Anolis sagrei: one gene and its partner. The protein of the gene in region 1 interacts with the protein of each later gene in a pairwise test. Links are inferred from orthologs where the notes say so. Each region holds a gene or a part of one and is shown on either strand. Other genes may lie near its edges.

Region 1 (6,972 bases):
TCGCGGCCTCACCATTACACCGTTACCTTGAAACCATGTGGCAACAAGAGCAACTGGTCTCGCAAAACCCTCTTCTGGTGCTGATTTTCCACGAAAGATTACTACTACCACATGAGCTCTAGATCATTAAATATAGTTCTCTGTGGGTGAGGAGATGGCAACTACTGGATGGCATATGTTCTATCAGAAACTAAAGCTGATGTGGTCTATCCAATGAAATTTTCTGAATCAGCACCCCAAATAATCAAACCAAATCTAGAGTTGATAGAAAACGGATTTGTAACCTTTTTAATACAACTGTTGGAGAGTGGTCCCTGGCCAAGTGGTCCATGGTCAAAGTGGTCCCTGGTCAAAAAAAAGGTTGGGAACCACTGCACTAGAGCATGGATCCACTTTAAATCCAGTTTCTGCCTCCTGCAGAATTTTGGGGTTTGTAGTTTATTGAGGCCTAGGTTCTGCCTTGCTGAGCAGTTTAAAGGCCTCTTCATAAACTACAAGACCCCGAATTCTGCATGAGGCAGAAACTGGATATGAAGTGGATCCATGCTCTAGTGTGATGAGGTCCTCAGAGCAGTGGTTCTCAACCTGTGGATCCCCAGGTGTTTTGGCCTACAACTCCCGGAAATCCCAGCCAATTTACCAGCGGTTAGGATTTCTGGGAGTTGAAGGCCAAAACATAGGGGGACCCACAGGTTGAGAACCACTACCTTAGACGCTGCCTCAAAAGATTACATCCTGCATTATTAAATTTGTATTAATTCCCACGCTCTGGCTCCAAATTCTCCCATGACCATGGATTGGAATTCCTAATGGATGTATGTACAGGAGAGAGGGCAGGAAATTGTAAACCCATAAACATGTATTCTTATGCTTAAGTTTATTTACACCCTGGTTTTTCTCTCCACAAGGAGACTCAAAACTCAAAACTTGTGTCCCATGACTCTGGTTAAAAATGTGTAGGTTGTGTATATCTTATTCAAAATAAAGTATTTTGGATATCAGAGTATCTGTATTTGTATATAGATACAAACATAAAGAGCTATCTTGGAGACAGAGCCAAGTCTAAACATGAAATTCATTGATGATTCAAAAACGCCTTACACATATAACCCAGGAACGGACAAACTTTGGCCCTCCAGGTGTTTTGGACTTCAACTCCCACAATTCCTAACAGCTTAGCAGGAACCTAAGGAGGAACCTAATTAATGGGGGGGGGGGGGCAAGGGAGCCTAATGGGGGAGGAGGTAAGGGAGTCTAAGGTGGGGGGGGGGGGGGTAAAATAATCTTAATGGGAGGGGGTAAGGGAGGTTAATGGGAGTCAATGGAGCCTAATGGGAGGGGGGTAAATAATCTGAATGGGAGGCTAATTAATGGGAAAGGGGCAAGGGAGCCTAATGGGAGGCAAGGGAACCTAATGGATGTGGGGTAAATAATCTTAATGGGAGGGGGTTAAGGGAGCTTAATGGGAGTAAATAATTTCAATGGGAAAGGGGTAAGTGAGGCTAATTAACAGGAGGAGGCAAGGGAGCCTAATGGGCTTGGGATAAATAAATCTTAATGGGAGGTGGCAAGGAGGCTAGTTAATGGGAGTGAGGCAAGGGAGCCCAATGGGAGTGGGGTAAATAATTTGAATGGGAGGAGGTAAGGAAACCTAATTAATGGCAGTGGGGCAAGGGAACCTAATGGGAAGATGGTAAGGAAGCCCAATGGGAGGGGGGTACATGGGAGGGGGGTACCTAATTAATGGGAGGGGGACATGGGAGCCTAATGGGAAGGTGGTAAGGAAGCCTAATGGGAGGGAGTAAGGGAAACTAATTGGGGAGGGGGGGATAATCTGGGAGGGGGCTGGAAACTATTTCATGGGAGGGGGACAAGGGAGCCTAATGGGAGGTGGGAGGGAACCTAATTGGGGGGGGGATAATCTGATTGGGAGGGGGCTGGAAACTATTTAATGGGAGGGGGACAAGGGAGCCTACTGGGAAGGTGGTAAGGAAATCTAACTGGAAGGGTAAGAGAACCTAATTAATTGAGGTGGAAGGGAACCTAACTGGGGTGGGGGTAAATAATCTGAATGGGAGGGGGCTGGAAAACCTAATTAATGGCAGTGGGGCAAGGGAGCCTAATGGGAAGGTAGTAAGGGAGCCTAATGGGAAGGGGGTAAATAATCTGAATGAGAGGGGCCAGGGATCCTACTTAATGGGAGGGGCGAGGGAGCCTAATGGGAAGGTGGTAAGGGAACCTAATTTGGGGGGGGGGAATAATCTGAATGGATGGGTGCAAGGGATCCTAATTAATGGGAGGGGGGCAAAGAAACCTAATGGGAAGAGGGATAGGCAGGTTAATAAATGGAAGGAGGGTAAAGGAATCGAATTAATTGGGGGGGGGAGCCTAATGGGAAGGGGATAAATAATATTATTTGTAGGGGGGAGGAAGCCTAATGGGAGGGGCAGGTAAATAATCTTAATAGGAGGGGGGCAAGGGAGTCTAATGGGAATTTGGTAAGGGAGCCTAATGAATGGGAGGGGGAAGGGGGCAAAGCCACTCCCCAGGATGGGTCCAAGAAGGGCAAACCCCAGATTTGGGAGCCAAGAAGGGAGAAGCAAGAGGCAGGATTGGGGGGGGGGGTGTAAAAAGAGAGAGAGAGAGGCCTTTCTGCCTGGGTGGGTTCCCTCTTGGCTGGCCATCCCTCCTCCAAGAGAGAAGAGGGGAGGCGTCTTGCAAGAGGCTGCACAAAAGCGTGGCCTGGGAAGGAGGACGGGGGCCGAGGGACCTCCTCCTCCTCGACCAGGGCTGCCGCAGGGGCTTGGGTGGGTGCTGCCTGCTGCTGCTGCTGCTCTTCCTCCTCCTCCTCCTCCTCCTCTCCTCCCACGCCCGGCCTGGCCTACCCCTTGGAGTGCTCCGTCTCCTCCTCATTGTCGCCGTCGATGCCGCAGGTGTCCTGGTCGTCCAGCTCGAGGCTCTGCTGGCTGGCGGCAGACTCGCTGTCCTCCGCCATCACGGGGAAGGAGGGGAGCCAGGCGGGCGGGCGGGCAGGCGCCGCCGAGAGGAGGAGCCCAGCACCAGCCTATGGGAGGCGGGCAGGCGGGCGGGCGAGAGGCAGCGGGAGCGCAGGCAAACAGGCCCGCCGCCGACGGAAGAGCGCCCCCTGCAGGATGCTGCGCTGTATGCAGGGTTCATGAACTGCTGTGGCAGGCATGGACCAACTTTGGCCTCCCTCCCAGGTATTTTGGACAGTTCCTAACAGCCAGTATTGGAAAATGTTGACCATTTCCGCTACCTTAGCAGCCACCTCTCCACAAAAGTCAACACTGACACTGAAATACAACACCGCTTGAACTCTGCGAGTGCAGCATTTTTCTGAATGAAGCAAAGAGTGTTTGAGCACCGGGACATCCGGGACATCCGTAGGCAGGCCTGTAGCGAGGGGGTGGTTTTAGGGGTTCAACCCCCCCCCCTCCCGAAATGTTTCAGATTTTTTAAAAAAAACCTGGTTTACTCATGAATGTTAACTGGTTAACCTAATCCCTATGCTAAGTCTATGAGATGCAAAATATTAAGAGTCCCTCCAGAACTGTAAGCACTATCTCAAGCAAATATTGACAATTTATTCACACTGTCATTACTTGCAGCAATAGCCGATGTTCTGTCGCCACTGGGTCCGAACAAAATGTCTTTATTCTATAGAACGCACACTTTAAACCCAGCGGGAAGCCGGGGTGCCCGAAGAGAGATTGGTAGAGACTTCCAGAAGTAATGGGCTTGAGAGTCTTTAAAAGTACAACAAAGTCTTTATTAAGGAACAAATCTTCAAACAAAACTTTACGGCTTTACTATTCAAGTCTTTAAGAGACTGGCACTAACTTGGTTTGACTGTGCTATCTCATAAGGAAGAACTCTTTATAATCCCTCCCAAGCCGTCCATCACCTAGGCCTCACTGGTCTGGGTAAAACTGCCGATCCCCAAATGCGTCTGGAAACCGAGTAACCTACCAGACGAAGCTAGAAGATGTTTAGCTGGAATTCTGTGGTTCTGCAGTGATGTCCTGTGGAAACTTCAGGGCTGTTTTCCCCTCTGGTGTTGTGAGGCTGAGAGGCTGTGAGCTCTTAGCCAGAGCCTTTGGGACCTTTTCCTTCTGTTTCCCTGGAACTGGATGGTCACTGGATGACCCCTGGATGGTCGCTGGATGATCCCCGGATGGCTATTTCCATTTCCCCGGAAGGTTTTGAGGAATGAAGCCTTTCCTACGGGACTAGCTGATCTGCGTCCTATAGACTGGCTTCCTTGTGTGACTGAAAATAGGCCCCTTCCCTCCAAAAGGCAAAAAGGGGGCGGGACCAGGGATCCTAATTATAACTGGCAGGTGGCTTACCCTATAAATGCAAATTATAACAGGAAACCCCCTGCTGCAAAATCCCAAGCATGGGTTTGCACACAAACATAAACACAGCAAATAAATCTGGAGCTCCTGGAACAGCTGTTCCAGAACAGCCAATGTAGTGAAACAATCAAGTTGGGTGGGGGAGGGGTGTTGAATGCTCTCATTAAGGAGGCCAGACTTGGTGGAGGTGGTTGACAGGGGCGGAGCTGCAGGCTATTGCAGGTTGCTCTGCCCCCTGCTGTGCTCTTGGCTTCAGCGTGAGCTAGGAGGCAGGTTTCAACCCCCCGCCAAAAGATTTCAACCCTCCCCGAAATTTTCAACCCCCCCCCCTGAAATTTTCAACCCCCCCCGAATTTTTTTTCTGGCTACGGCCCTGTCCGTAGGGAGACCAAGGTGCTTGTTTATAAAGCTAATAGCTGTCCTGTGCCATGCATTGTTGGGACCCGGTCTGTGTATATGTGCTTTGTGTGTGTATACATTTGTGTACATGTGTATATATGCCTCTTTGCATATGTGTGTGTGTGTGTGGTTTTGTGCATGTGCTGTAGTATCTTCTTGGGGTTTTGTTTTTTTTTTTTTGGCATTTTAAGACTCTTCAGCTGTGTTTTTATGAGTGATGGTTACTCGTTGGCCTGATTGGTGTAGACACTGAGAACCGGGAAGCCCTGGCCCTTGAGTGCTCTAGCTGGAGGTCAGCTGTGACCAGCAGTGCTGTAGAATTTGAAGAGGCACAAATGGAGGGCAAAAGAGAGAAACATGACAAGAGGAAGGCATGTCAAGGCAACCCTGACCGGGACCGCCTTCCAACTGGAAACTGATGTCCTCACTGCGGAAGAATAGGGCTCCACAGCCACCTACGGCTGTTAGGAATTGTGGGAGTTGAAGTCCAAAATACCCAGAGGGCCAAAGTTTGCCCATGCTTGCTTTAGGCTTATACAGTCCCTGAGTTACAATCATCCAATTTAATCATCTGACAACTCCTAATTAAGAACTGGGGCGAGACAACAGGAAGTGAGAGGAATCTATCCTTTGGAAGGGAAATTCACTCCTGGAAGAGTTATTATTATGGGGAAAAGGTGTCTCCACTGAAGCTTTATCACCAATCCTTGTTTCCACATGTGAAATTCCCCAAAATCAAATTCGCACAGGGATAGGAAGTAAGGAGAAATATTCTGACAGGGGCACAGACAGAAAAACAAACACCACAGGGGTGTTACCTCTTCCCTATGCTATCCAAGCTGGTTTGAAGATTGGATTCAGCACACTGGAGAGCTACTTTAAAAATTGGACTTAATTGGCTGAGGGGGAAAAGGAAAGGGCCTGAGGTTGTTAGGAATGGTGGGAGTTGAAGTCCAAAAACACCTGGAGGGTCCAAGTTGGTTCAGGCCTGGTCCACAAGCTCCTTGTCCTTCAGTCAGGAAAGTTTAGGCTTGAGACTTCTGTGGATCTTCCTCCCTTTACGTAAGAGAAATCTACATAAAGGTATTCAGAGACTACATGAAGATAGCAAAGTTCCATACATCCCAGGTTAGATAATTTGTCAATCTACATAGAACTGCTCATAACTAATTCTCTTTTCCAATAAGAAAGGTATTACATTTATTTATTTATTTAAAACATTTATATTCCTCCCTTCTCACCCCGAAGGGGACTCAGGGCGGACACAGCATGCACACACACACACACATATATAATATCTCAATGGAACTCGTATCAGTGTTGGCTTACCCCTTGATTCAGTGGGTGTACGCTAGTTGGAAATAGCGATTGGATTTAGGCATACAAGGAATGTGATCCATTTTGTATTGTAAATGAGATTTTTACTGTTATTTAAGTGTTGATCTTTACTTACTGTCCTGATTTTTTTTAAAATACTGGTGGCCAGATTTTGCTCATTTTCATGGTTTCCTCCTTTTTGTTGAAATTGTCCACATGCTTGTGTATTTCAATGGCTTCTCTATGTAGTCCGTCCATGAAAGCCTTTGACAACACAGTCTTCAAGCTATTGCAGCCATGGAGCAAGTTCATGCCATTAAACCTTACTTGTTTTAATAAGATTGCTTTCTCCCCTCCAGCAACCAATTTGTTCTATTTTTGGTCCTATCATACTAAAAATAGCCTAATATTTTATAACTCATTATTTAATGACTGGCCATTAAGTAGTAGTGGAAGGTATTAAAATAGACTTGATTAAATTTTTAATGGTGCTGGAAGAGAATGGCAAGTAGCAACCCTTTTCCCTATCATCTTTAAATTGAAAGAGCAAGATATCTCTCATGGTCTTTAACTTTTAAGCCTCCAAATTACAAGATACCAGGTTACTTGACATGTAATGGCTAAGCAAGTATTGTTATTCTCCCCAAGCATCTTGAGGTTCTAAGTTCATAAGAACCTTAACTTCTGCCTCAAGTTCTCCTCCCAGAGTCAATGTCTGCTAAGGAAATTGTCTTCTTAATGGTGGTACCTTGGTTGTAGAATGACCTCAGAGACTGACTCACATGGTACCCTCTTTAAACCTCTTTCCAGTGTACCTGTTCATTCCAACTTTTTTATAAAGCTATTGTCCTCCCAACCCTGCTGTATGCCTACAAAA
Region 2 (8,069 bases), on another chromosome or scaffold:
TTAGCTTTAATGGAATTTAACTGCGAATGTTGTAATACTGTTTATATTTCATTCTGTTTTAATGTTTGCATATTTGTATATTTTAATTTCTATGCTCATGTTTTTATGTTAAGCTGCTTCTGTGGTTTTTAACTTTGAATATGCTTTAATAGATTTTAACTGTGAATTTGTAATACTGCTTATATTTAATTGTTTCCATGTTTGCATATTTGTATATTTTAAATTGCATGCTGATGCTTTTATGTTAACCTGCTTTGTGTCACCTTTGGGGGAGATAAAACGGGGTGGAAATATAATAATAACTAGTCGTCCTCTGCCACACGTTGCTGTGGCCCGGTCTGGTGATATGGAAAATAATGAGAAAGTGTTGGTTTCTAATATATGTGATTTCTTTATGCTTGTGGGTAAACAGTATTTCTTGCTGTTTCTTTGTCAGTGTTGATGTGGAGATTGTCTGGTTTGCCTATTCTGTAACATGTAACATATAATTGTTTTTCTCCTTTTCAGATCTATGATACTATATCTGTGTGTGTGAGAATCATACCTATCTATATCTATGGCTGGATGGCCCTTTGTCAGGAGGGCTTTGATTATGTTTTCTTGCATTGGTGAAGGGAGTTGGACTGGATGGCCTTAAGGCACCATTTCTCAACTTGGGAAGTCAAGACCCCCCCCCCCCGGGGGGTGTCTCCAGGGGGGTGTCAGAAGGGTCACCAAAGACCACGAAAAAACACAGAATTTTCTGTTGGTCATGGGGGTTCTGTGTGGGATGTTTAACCCAATGCCATTGTTGGTGGGGTTCGGAATGCTCTTTGATTGTAGGTGAACTATACATCCTAGTAACTACAACTCCCAAATGTCAAGGTCTATTTCCCCCAAACTCCATCTGTGTTCACATTTGGGCATATTGAGTATTCCTGTCAAGTTTGGTCCAGATCCATCATTGTTTGAGTCCACAGTGTTCTCTGGATGGAGGTGAACTGCAATTCAAAAATTCAAGGTCAATGCCCACCATACCCTTCTAGTGTTTTCTGTTGGTGGTGGGAGTCCTGTGCGCCATGTTTGGTTCAATACCATAGTTGGTGGAATTTAGAATGACAGGACTGCGGGGATACAGAAATCCCCGAGATTGTTCGTGAAGTACAGGAGGGATGCCAGTGGCCTTCCAGTGTCTTTGCAATGCCTATTTGATTGGTGTATCAACGAGCAGGTTGAAACCGTCCTCAGAATGTGAAGGGTCATTCCACAAAGTTGATGTCCACTTCTACAGCCTTCATTAGGGGCTTGCAGCTGGATACACTTTGCCGTGCTGCCACACGGTCCATGCCGCTTACCTTCATGTCCCACTCCGAATTGGATGTCTCCTCTAAGAGGGATGCTTCATTTGGAAGGGCAGTCCTTTTCTCTGCGGTGGCATGACGCCCACAAGCCAGGGTTAATAGCTCGCTAGTCTACCATATGTGCGTATTCACAGTTGACCACGATGGGAAAATATAGGTTGCTTTTATGACTGGCAGTAATCACTGCACCTTGTGGCAGAGGGTTCCCTAGTCTTGTTCCCCACCATGAGATTTTTATCTCTTCCGAATCTTCCATCATTCAGCCTCATTGCATTATTATTATTATTATTATTATTAAACTTTATTTGTACCCCGCTAGCATCTCCCGAAGGACTCGATGCGGCTTACAGAGACCAAGGCCTCAACACACCAATCGCAAACAATAACAATACAATACAAAGCAAAAATTAAAACATAAGCAATGACAAAAACATTACACTATTACACATTAAAAACAGGCCGGGCCAATGATGGGTACAGGTTAAAAAGTGCTGGATGTGACGGTGGTATATTGGAATTCTGGGCAAGTGCAATGTGCAGAGAGTCTTAACTCTAATAAAGTGCTTCTGGGACATGGTGCTGGGCGGTTATCCTATTCTGGGAAGGTACATCTGAATAGCCAGGTATTCACGTTCTTCCTAAAGACTGCCAACGTGGGTGCTAGTTTAATGTCTTTGGGGAGGGTGTTCCAAAGTTGGGGGGCAACCACAGAGAAGGCCCTGTCCCTCGTCCCCACCAAACGCGGCTGTGACGCAGGTGGGATCGCGAGCAGGGCCTCTCCGGATGAACAAAGGGAGCGTGTGGGTTCATAAACTGAGATGCGGTCACGCATTGTTCCAGTTCCTAGTCTTATGAAAGAGAGGGGAAAACAGCACCCGGTCAAACAGGTCAAAAAGCACCGGGAGTCCTATGTGCCAGGTTTGGTTCAATTCCATAGTTGGTGGAGTTTAGAATGCTCTTTGATTGTAGGTGAACTATAAATCCCAGAAACTAAAACTCCCAAATGACAAAATCAATTTTTTTGAGTAAAGGACATACATTGGGTTGTTAGGTGTCTTGTGTCCAAATTTGGTGTCCATTGGCCCACTGGTTTTTGAGTTCTGTTAATCCCACAAACGAACATTACGTTTTTATTTATATAGATGATAATAATAACAATCACTTTTCAAATCACCCGGGCATGGCTAGTGTACAATAAAGTTATTCTACTCTCTGCAGGAAACTTCTGAATGGCAGCCGAACGCCCTGCGGCGAAGTTGGCAGAGAGGCCTTGAAGAGTCCCTTTGGGGAGGGGGGGAGGGAAGGGGGAGCGGGCCCTTTAAGAGGCGCCTCCCCTCCTGCCCGCGCGCCCCTTCCTCACCTGCTTGTAGCGCGCGTAGAGCGCGAGGAGCTGCTCCTTGCTGGCCACCGCCACCAGGCCCGGCACGCGCTCCGCCGCCCGCTCGAACTGCTCGGCCAGGCCCGGAGGCGAGGGGCTCTCCGAGTCGGAGCCGGGGCCCGGAGACTCCCCCAGCAGCGCCGCCGCCACTGCCGCCGCTCTCTCGCCCTCTTCCTCCTCGTCGCCGGAGCTGAGCTGGTCGCCTCGGCCGCCTTCCTCAGCCGGGAACGGGGACGCCATGGCACTCTCACTCCATCCTCCCTCTTTTGCCTCAGAGAGAGAGAGAGAGAGAGGCGGCTCGCGCCCAAGGGCTAAGCCACGCCCCCCAGTCCCCTTCGCCGAGCGGTCCAGGTGGGACCCCGGCACTGCGCACGCGCCGCTCTAGGAGAGGGGAAAGGAGATTTAGACAACACAAAGGATATAGAGTTAGAAATGAGTTAGAGTGATAGATTCCCCACACACACACTTCGCCAGCGAGTCGCGTTCTGTTTCCTGCTTCTATGGAGCCGCGCGCACCTTTATCGTTGGAACCCTTTTCGGTCAGAGTGGGGAAACCCCGCCCCCTTTTTTGTGGAGGAAAAGGCTTGTGTCTGCTTATTGATCTATCCATTGGATTTAAGACTTAAATCAACAAATAGTTTTCTAAGACCACACCTGGAATATTGTGTCCAATTCTGGGCACCACAATTCAAGAGAGATATTGACAAGCTGGAATGTGTCCAGAGGAGGGTGACTCAAATGAGCAAGGGTCTGGAGAACAAGCCCTATGAGGAGCGGCTTAAGGAGCTGGGCATGTTTAGCCTGAAGAAGAGAAGGCTGAGAGTGGAGGGGATGTGGTTTTAAAAAGGGAATTTTCTGATATTTCCCCAATGCCCATATGTCATGATTTACTGCCATATTGGCCTATTTCTGCAGTAGGCCTATGTTCACAGAAAATGCTGATTGTTTGAGAAATCAGTGCTCCAAAGAAGAAGTTACTATTCAAGGATAACAATATATCCGGACAAAACCAGCTAGCTGTTGGCTAGTTAGAACCCCCAAGTTTCCCAGTCGCTCTGAAGCCATGTTTGCAACAGACTAATAGATAAGATACAGTCATGGTCAGAGAACAATGGACTATAGTTATGTTATAGATGTGCCATTGTTAGGATCCCACGTGTGCTATAATGTCGATCAAAATCATAAACAACTAATGAACAACTGTATAGCTAACTTAGACCAATGAAATGATTTGTCTTTGGGAACCAATGAAAATGTATATTCCATTTACTATAAATGCTCTGCAGCCCCATTGGGGGTTGCGACAAACCCTTTGATTGCATCCCTGTATGCTTGTTTGTCGTTATTGTTATGGCCACGCAATAATAAATAGTTTTTTTTGCAGTTTAAAGGATTCTACTTTCGTGGTGTCCATCCTTGCTCTCCCTATTAGAAAGGGGGCTTCTGCCTTTTGGGAAATATTCTGGTTTCGTTGCCCCTACAAGAGGAGATATGATAGCCATGTATAAATACGTGAGAGGAAGAGACGGGGAGGAGGGAGCAAGCTTGTTTTCTGCTTCCCTGGAGACGAGGATGCAGAACAATGGCTTCAAACTACAAGAAAGGAGATTCCATCTGAACATGAGGAAGAACTTCCTTACTGTGAGAGCCGTTCAGCAGTGGAACTCTCTGCCCTGGGTTGTGGTGGGGGCTCCTTCTTTGGAAGCTTTTCAACAGAGGCTGGATGACCATCTGTCAGGGGTGATTTGAATGCAGTGTTCCTGCTTCTTGGCAGGGGGTTGGACTGGATGGCCCATGAGGTCTCTTCCAACTCTCTGATTCCATGATTCTACATGTTAGGGACAAAAACTCACATTTGTATGGCCATCTGTCAGGGGTGATTTGAATGCAATATTCCTGCTTCTTGGCAGGGGGTTGGACTGGATGGCCCATGAGGTCTCTCCCAACTCTTTGATTCTATGATTCTATTCTAAGATCTACAGCAGGGGTCCTCAAACTAAGGTCCGGGGGCCAGATATGTCCCTTCAAGGTCATTCACCTGGCCCTCACTCAGGGTCAACCTAAGTCTGAAATCACTTGAAAGCACACAACAACAATCCTATCTTATCAGCCAAAAGCAGGTCCACCCTTCCCATTGAAATACTAATAAGTTTATATTTGTTAAAATTGTTCTTCAATGTAATTATTGTATTGTTTTAAGGTGGGGGGTTTTTTGCACTACAAATAAGATATGTGCAATGTGCATAGCAATTCATTCATTGTTTTCCAAATTATAATCCGGCCCTCCAACAGTTTGAGGGACTGTGACCTGGCCCTCTGTTTAAAAAGTTTGAGGACCCCTGATCTACAGAGACACTCGCTGGAACACCTCCGCAGGGGTCCCGACCCCCAGATTGAGAAACACTGATCTACAGCAATGTGGGGGAGAAGAAGAGGGAGGAAAGAAAGAAGGAGTTGGAGGAGGAAGAAGGGAGCAGGACGCAGAAGAAGGAGAATTCAAAAATAAAACTTGTTTCTGCCTCTTTCTTTCCTCCTTCTTATAGTGAAGGGAGGGAGGCAAGAAAGAGTTGGCGAAGAAGGGACAGTCTCTCTCTCTCCCCTCCTCTCTCCCTCCATCCTGCCTGCTGCTTCCTCTGGGGGATGAGGAGGAAGAGGAGGCGACAAAGTGGAAGGCAGCCAAAAGAAGGCTGCTGTTTCTGCTGGTTAGGGAGGGACTTGAGGAGCCTATCCACCGTGCTCCTCCTCTTCTTCCTCACTCCTATGGTGCCCACTCTCGCTTGTGTGTGTGTGTTTGTGTGTGTGGCCATGCACACGCACTTGAATTCTAAGGCTTTAACAGCCGGCTGCTTCCCCGCCAGGAGGAGGGGGCGTGGCCATGGGTCTCTTTGTGGGCATGCAGTTTCTCCTTTGTGGATATGCAGTTTAGAAGTCCTTTCTGCTTTATTTTTTGTGGGTTTTTTTTGGGGGGGGGGTTAAGGACATACATCGGGTTGTTAGGTTTATGCTTTCCAAATTTGGTGTCAATTGGTCCAGTGGTTTCTGAGTTCTGTTAATCCCACAAACGAACATTACATTTTTATTTATATAGAAGACTAGCTATCCCCTGCCACGCGTTGCTCTGGCCCAGTCTGTTGATCTGGAAAATAAAGAAATGAGAAAGTGTTGGTTTCTAATATATGTAATTTCTTTATGCTTGTGGGTAAACAGTATTTCTTGCTGTGTCTTTGTCAGTATTGATGTGGAGAGTGTCTGGTTTGCCCACTCAGGAACATGCAACACATCATTGTCCTTTTTAAGGGTCCCTTTCAATCTATGATACTATATCTGTGTGTGTGTGAATCATCTCTCTCTCTCTCTATCTATCTATAGCTATGGCTGGATGGCTCTTTGTCAGGAGGACCTTGATTACGTTTTCTTGCCCCGATGAAGGGAGTTGGGTGGATGGCCTTAAGTATTTTCTGGTGGTTATGGGGGTTCTGTGTGGGAAGTTTGCCCCAATTCTGTCATTCGTGGGGGACAGAAATTATTTATTTATTTATTACTGCGCTTATATACCGCCGTTTCTCAGCCTAAATCGGCGACTCAACGCGGTTTACAACACAACGACAAGCAGCAATATTCCATTAAAAAGCATAAAAACACATACACAATACACAGTATTATTGGGCCACCAATAATAATCCAATGCATCTCTTAATTGTAGTCGCAATCCAATTTCGTCGTCTGTGATTAACCAATCCTTGTTAATCAGTTTCGTTGCACCAGATTAATCGAATGCTTGTTTAAACATCCATGTCTTCAACCTTTTTCAAAATACTATCAGCGAAGGGGCTGATCTCACCTCTATGGGGAGGGCATTCCAAAGCCGAGGGGCCACCACAGAAAAGGCCCTGTCTCTCGTTCCCGCCAGCCGCACCTGTGAAGCAGGCGGGATAGAGAGCAGGGCCTCCCCAGAAGATCTTAGGGTCCTGGTGGGCTGATAGGCCGAGATACGTTCGGATAGATAAGTTGGGCCAGAACCGTTTAGGGCTTTAAAGGCCAGCGCCAGCACTTTGAATTGGGCCCGGTAGCAAATCGGCAGCCAGTGGAGCTGGTACAGCAGAGGAGTTGTATGCTCCCTGCGCCCTGCTCCGGTTAGTATCATGGCTGCCGCCCGTTGGACTAATTGGAGCTTCCGAGCCGTCTTCAAAGGCAACCCCACATAGAGAGCGTTGCAGTAGTCAAGACGGGATGTAACCAGAGCGTGGACTACCGTGGCCAAGTCAGACTTCCCAAGGTACGGTCGCAGTTGGCGCACAAGTTTTAACTGTGCAAATGCTCCCCTGGTCACCGCCGAAACCTGGGGTTCCAGGCTCAGCGATGAGTCCAGGATCACACCCAAACTGCGAACCTACGTCTTCAGGGGGAGTGCGACCCCGTCTAACACAGGCTGTAACCCTATACCCTGTTCGGCCTTGCGACTAACCAGGAGTACCTCTGTCTTGCTCTTTGATTGTAGGTGAACTATAAATCCCAGTGACTAAAACTCCCAAATGTCAAGGTCTATTTCCCCAAACTCCATCTGTGTTCATATTAGGGCGTATTGAGTGCTTGTGCCAAGTTTGGTCCAGATCCATCATTGTTTGAGTCCACAGGGCTCTCTGGATGTAGGTGAACTACAACTCCAAAACTCAAGATCAATACCCACCAAACCCTTCCAGTATTTTCTGTTGGTCATGGGAGTTCTGTGTGCCAAGTTTGGTTCAATTCCATCGTTGATGGAGTTCAGAATGCTCTTTGATTGTAGGTGAACTATAAATCCCAGCAACTACAACTCCCAAATGACAAAATCATAATTTTTTGAGTGATGGTCACTCCTTGTGTAGCTTTGGTTAGACCACATCTGGAATATTGTGTCCAATTCTGGGCACCACAATTCAAGAGAGATATTGACAAGCTGGAAAGTGTCCAGAGGAGGGCGACTAAAATGATCAAAGGTCTGGAGAACAAGCCCTATGAGGAGCGGCTTAGGGAACTGGGCATGTTTAGCCTGAAGAAGAGAAGGCTGAGAGGAGATATGATAGCCATGTATAAATATGTGAGAGGAAGCCACAGGGAGGAGGGAGCAAGCTTGTTTTCTGCTTCCTTGGAGACTAGGACGCGGAACAATGGCTTCAAACTACAAGAGAGGAGATTCCATCTGAACATTAGGAAGAACTTCCTGACTGTGAGAGCCGTTCAGCAGTGGAACTCTCTGCCCCGGAGTGTGGTGGAGGCTCCTTCTTTGGAAGCTTTTAAGCAGAGGCTGGATGGCCATTTGTCAGGGGTGATTTGAATGCAATATTCCTGCTTCTTGGCAGGGGGTTGGACTG

Evidence for each region.
Region 2: the proteins of NMT2 (region 1) and ACBD6 interact in binary tests that used the Homo sapiens proteins (3 or more experiments, as listed by UniProt). The link is inferred for Anolis sagrei from reciprocal best matches to the Homo sapiens genes NMT2 and ACBD6.

Annotation. Positions count from the first base shown.
Region 1 is NC_090026.1:104,884,437-104,891,408, forward strand, and holds the start of NMT2 (glycylpeptide N-tetradecanoyltransferase 2), read right to left. Parts: upstream 3,037-6,972; 5' UTR 2,996-3,036; coding exon 2,886-2,995; intron 1-2,885.
Region 2 is NC_090024.1:125,161,192-125,169,260, reverse strand, and holds the start of ACBD6 (acyl-CoA-binding domain-containing protein 6), read right to left. Parts: upstream 3,093-8,069; 5' UTR 2,959-3,092; coding exon 2,701-2,958; intron 1-2,700. UniProt on the Homo sapiens protein: Binds long-chain acyl-coenzyme A molecules with a strong preference for unsaturated C18:1-CoA, lower affinity for unsaturated C20:4-CoA, and very weak affinity for saturated C16:0-CoA. Does not bind fatty acids. Plays a role in protein N-myristoylation.